2 linked regions of the Kluyveromyces lactis genome follow. The protein of the gene in region 1 purifies or fractionates together with the protein of each later gene. This does not show direct contact. Links are inferred from orthologs where the notes say so. Each region holds a gene or a part of one and is shown in the gene's direction. Other genes may lie near its edges. The genes, in order: TIM22 and TIM10.

Evidence for each region.
Region 2: the proteins of TIM22 (region 1) and TIM10 purify together in Saccharomyces cerevisiae (affinity purification with western blotting; 4 studies listed by BioGRID, with this or other methods). This does not show direct contact. The link is inferred for Kluyveromyces lactis from reciprocal best matches to the Saccharomyces cerevisiae genes TIM22 and TIM10.

Annotation. Positions count from the first base shown.
Region 1 is NC_006040.1:726,797-729,613, forward strand, and holds TIM22 (translocation channel protein TIM22), read left to right. Parts: upstream 1-1,422; coding exon 1,423-2,013; downstream 2,014-2,817. Other genes in the region: SWT21 (Swt21p), read right to left, coding at 1-1,149; KAR1 (Kar1p), read right to left, coding at 2,140-2,817. UniProt on the Saccharomyces cerevisiae protein: Essential core component of the TIM22 complex, a complex that mediates the import and insertion of multi-pass transmembrane proteins, such as mitochondrial carrier family members, into the mitochondrial inner membrane.
Region 2 is NC_006042.1:2,402,867-2,405,409, forward strand, and holds TIM10 (protein transporter TIM10), read left to right. Parts: upstream 1-1,582; coding exon 1,583-1,852; downstream 1,853-2,543. Other genes in the region: RCO1 (Rco1p), read right to left, coding at 1-468; SDD2 (Sdd2p), read left to right, coding at 750-1,151; cytochrome c1 heme lyase CYT2, read right to left, coding at 2,150-2,543. UniProt on the Saccharomyces cerevisiae protein: Mitochondrial intermembrane chaperone that participates in the import and insertion of multi-pass transmembrane proteins into the mitochondrial inner membrane.

The DNA of each region.
Region 1 (2,817 bases):
GGTGTTTGGATCAACAGGATTCGTTGCAATGCAATTCACCCTTACATTCTCATCTGAAATAAGAATGTTATTCGTTGGCTTTATTCCAGTACCAGCGGTTTGAAGTGGGTCCAACCCACCAAATTCAATGCAATCTTTGTCCCAGCATGCAACCTGACCATCGTACGATCCAATTAACAAACCTTTGGCACTGTTCAAGGATGCCTTGAATTTCTGCTTACCAATTTTGAATGGAAGTTCCAGTATATTAATTCTAGATTTTAACATTCGTGTATCAATAACATCGATTTCTCTTGCATTACGTTTAATACAGTACAAATAATGTCCGTTATCCGACTTAATGACTTGGTAGATTCCATTTGACCACGAGTCCAATGAATCACGCTCACTTATTAGTTCAGATTTAGTACTTCTAGTATCAATTCGTAGCACTTCTGTTTTATAAGTACCAGCAAACCTGACATTGTCATGTACCTCGTTATATTCATCAAAGCATGATACGATAGCCTTCTGTGATGACTTCCCGCATGATTGTTTTGTCCACTGATGTTGCCATATCGGTTTATGTCGGTTGTAATCATACATAGTTATCCTGTTTCTAACAGATCCAGTCATGAAATGCATAGTGTCTTGAAGTATTGTCATTGAATAAGCCGTTTCAAAGGCTTCATTTTCTTCGTTAACAGTAGAGTAATGGTATAAACTTGTTTCATTGATGCTGTCCGATCGTAATGAGTACAATTTTATGGGCAGATCTCTTGAAGAACAAAGTATAGTTTGATATGCTGAATCCTCTTCATACAGTGAGTATCTAGGGTGGACGACAGAGGAAATAATGGAACCATTCACAAACCATCGTGTGAAAGGAACCCAATGATCTACAAGTGGATCTTCTGGTATAAGATACTGTCGTATTCCAAAATCATCAAAAACGCCGCAAATAGAAGTACCATCATGAGACCAAGTCAGCTGAGAACAAATCACAGGACAATACCGCTCAACGCTATGGAAATACGAACGATGCAGCTTTGGAAATTCGTAATTCTTTGCATATGCTGAAAATTTTCGAGATAATTCTTCTTCGAGAGACCATAATGAATTACAATTTGTCCCATAGTAGCAGTCTAATGTGCTGGCTATCGTTTGCATTATCAAAAGGTCTCATATTCCGCATACAGTTGCTTAAAATGCTGCCTTCTGTGCATGCGATGAGGCATTCTGTCAATATTGACATATTGACAGAGTTGAAGCTTATTCTTATCGAAAGAAAAAAAGCTTTGGAATAGCTAATATCAAAAGCTCATCGAAAATAATATTGAAATAAATATATACATCGTTGAACAGAGTAGTAAAAGGACACCGTGAAGTATTGGATAGTTGTGGAAGATTAGCTACTGTTGAAGTAAGAAACGTTAAAATAAAATGGTGTATCGTGGGTTTGGTTTAGACCAAGTTTCTCCACCAGAGAATAAACCATTTGATCAACTTTCGCCTGAAGAACAAGGTGAAAAAGGTGCCCAAATGATGGTGGAGTTTATGACTTCTTGTCCTGGAAAAGCTGCCATCAGTGGTGTTACTGGTTTTGCATTAGGTGGTGTTTTCGGTTTATTTATGGCATCGATGGCGTATGACACACCTCTACATACGCCAGCTCCAACCAATGCTCCAGGTTTACCAAATAAAGTGAAAGAGCTTGCAGATCTACCGTTGAAACAGCAGATAAAGATCCAGTTTAGTGATATGGGAAAAAGATCCTACTCCAGTGCAAAGAATTTCGGTTACATCGGTATGATTTATTCAGGTGTCGAATGTGTGGTGGAATCGTTAAGGGCAAAGAACGATATATATAACGGTGTAGCTGCAGGTTGTTTGACAGGCGGTGGCTTGGCATACAAGAGTGGACCTCAGGCAGCATTAGTGGGTTGTGCGGGTTTTGCTGCCTTCTCTACGGCCATTGATTTATACATGAGAAACGAGAATAAGAAACCACCCAAGGATGACTTCGATGAATGATCAGTTTATATTTTTGAAACTCTAAGCATTAAGCGTCCGTTCTTTGTACATTAGATAGACTCCAGGTCATGATATCTATGAACTTTACATGTAAATACGTGCATTTATATATCAATTCAGTCTTTATCATAGGTAATGATACACCCATACATTGCAAAGTACGAGAATAATGATACAACTTAACCATATCACTGGTTCATAGGTCATTGATTTGCCAATTAAAGTTTCTTTGTCCTGCAAAATATCGATCAACCGATCTAGCTTGGCACTAGTGTCCTTCAATTGGGATTCCAATGTAGTTATTTCACTAGATTGAAACACTTTGCGGGAAATTTTTCTTTGACTTTCAAAAGACGGTGCTTCTAATACCCTCTTGGCCTTATTCACAGGCTCTGCTTTAGTCTGTCGTACCTTTGCGTTCGATATTATAGTATTCCATCTGGATTCGAGGTCACGACCAACTTCCATTTTTTGCTGAGGGTCAAGATAAGGTAAGGGCAATGGATCACCAAGCTTCTCTTTCAGTTGTCTTCGTTTTGGAAATGTATTTGACTTCTTTGGGGTATTATGCTGGGACAGTTGTACAATGCTTTGTTTAGATCGCAGCTTCGGCATAAACTGTGGGTTAACTTCATCATCAAACGTTTCGCTGGAGCTTACAGACCCCGGAGTAGTAACATTACTCGATGATTTGTACTTCACAGTATCTTCCTCCTCAGAAATATTTAAAGGCCCGCATATATCTTGCAAAACACTTGTGCTATTGTTCGAAACAACTGATACCTCATCTTTAATCTTCGCGTC
Region 2 (2,543 bases), on another chromosome or scaffold:
TTCATTTGATTTTTCAGTTTGTAGTTGTCCCTCATATTTAGCCTCCATGCTGCTCTTTAATGCCTGTAATATATTGGATTTCTTCTTCTTATTGTTACCATTTCTGTGTTTACCACTTCTATTATTGCTATCATCATTGTCGTTATTATTGATGTTATTGGTACTATTATTATTGTTACTGTTGTTGTTACTCGATCCCTTCGGCTTCTGAGATAATGGCGTCCCTGTCATAGCATTTATTGGATCATGCACTGGCGGCTCCTGAAACGTTATATTTCCATTACTATCCTTAAGAATGACTGGTCCAATAGGTTCTGTCGATGGTTCTTGGGACGGTGATGAAGATATTGAGGATGTACTTTTCGTTGGATAATCATCACTTGGAATAATCCGTCTCTTTTTCAGATTATAATCCACATTGGCAGTACCTGACCGTTTGGGCCTCGTTACCTCCATATTTTTTGTCATGAAGCCGGAAAGTAGATGTACTGGCACGTAATTTTTTTAGCCGGTACTTTCCCCTACTCGTTGTTTCGCGTTGAACCATAATTTAATTCAATTGTTAGATGCGTTCAATTAAATTTGTATCGCACTTTTTTATTTTTTTTCTGTATTCCAATATCACGAACCTTCGATAGTTGAAGTCGTATACACATACCAGCTATATCAATGATAATGGAATCAAAATGTATATAGTTACGGGAACAGGCTGAGGCGTCACCAGTCACATTAAAATAATAGAAGCAACCATGGACGACGAATTGAGAGCCATTAGAGAGGCCAGATTGAGGGAATTGAAGCAACAAAGTGGAGGAACATCAGAATCAGCAAACAACGGATCGAATGATGGTCAAACACAAGCGATATTGAATCAGATTTTGGATTCCAATGCACAAGAAAGATTGAGCAGGGTAGCGTTGGTGCGGCCAGAACGTGTAAAGGCAGTAGAAGCTTATTTACTACAAATGGTGCGGTCCGGTGCTATTAGAAACAAATTAACAGAGCAGGACATCGTTGGAATCCTCGAATCAGTCGGAAGAGATGAGCAAAAGCGCAATACTACACGTATTATATTCGATAGAAGAGAAAAAGGAACAGCATCATCTAGTGTGGATCAAGATGACGATGAAGACGATGATTTCTTTGACTAGTTATCTGTCTTCAATATATCAGGTTTTAACAGAGAAAGAAAGTAAGATATACATGCATATATAATTACAACGAATGAGAACTCAATCCTCATAAGTACCAAATAATTGCAAGAATCGGTAGTTCCAAAGGTTCAATGACTACTATAGGTCAATGCTCCCTCTGTCAAATCAATACATGTCCAAATCACGTGCATGTGACCGGGTAACGTATATTTCCTCATATTTCTGAAAATTTTCAGTATAGCAACTATTCGTCAGGAATTGCAGTTCACTAAAATTTAACTAATAGCAGTTAAATGCGTTGACAACTAGACTGTTGTTTGATCTGTAAATATTTATTGACGTAGTTTATCGTAGTGATTAGTCTTCTATTCATAGCCACAGGAATACCACTCCTACAATAACAACATATAAAAATCATCTTCTAAGAAATGTTCGGTCTAGGCGGTCAACCTCAATTATCTTCTCAACAAAAGCTATCAGCAGCTGAAGCTGAACTAGATTTGGTTACTGACATGTTCAACAAGTTGGTCGACAACTGTCACAAGAAATGTATTGAACAAATTTATAACGATGGTCAACTAAACAAGAACGAATCTACTTGTATCGACAGATGTGTTGCCAAGTACTTTGAAACTAACGTTAAGGTTGGTGAAAACATGCAACAGCTAGGCCAAGCTTTCTCTCCAGGTAAATTCTAAACCCGATGAGGGAAGCTTAAGCCGGGACGTTAGTGCATAATCTTTTTCGCAACTTTTCACGTTTTATCATGTACATATATGACAAATTTTGTATATACAAATATATTATATATATATATTAATTATCTATTTACAGAGTTTTAAAAATGAGGTAATGTCGGAGTACCAAACGATTAGGTTTGTGTATCTCGATCAAACCGATAAATATAGAGATATAAATGTATTTGCTAATACCGTGATGTGTTTTTGTCCATTATCTTCCCTTAGGATTGAAAATTTGGACGATCCCTTCTGTCTTTAAAATCCTAGCATTTTCATAACGCGTAATTTACAACCTTCAAAAGTATTCACTTTTGGTCTAACGTCCAAATATATTGGAGGAAGGTGGTTCTTTTCAGGTTCTGGATTCGAATAGAAGTCGATGACATAATCTATTTGTTTCCCGCAGCGATCGACGACCCAATCGTGCCTATCAAAAGGTTTGGTCATTCCAAGGATTGAGGATCTAAACCATGCTCTTGGGGTTAACTTCTTTGAATCGCCTTTGAAACTAGTCAATTTGATGCCACCACAGACATCTCCCCCTTGTCCGTCTTCCCAAATTTTGATATAATTCCATACTCTTTCATTAACGGAATTGTGGATGGGAACAACGGCTTTCATATCCACAGCTTCGGGATCCCAATTTTTT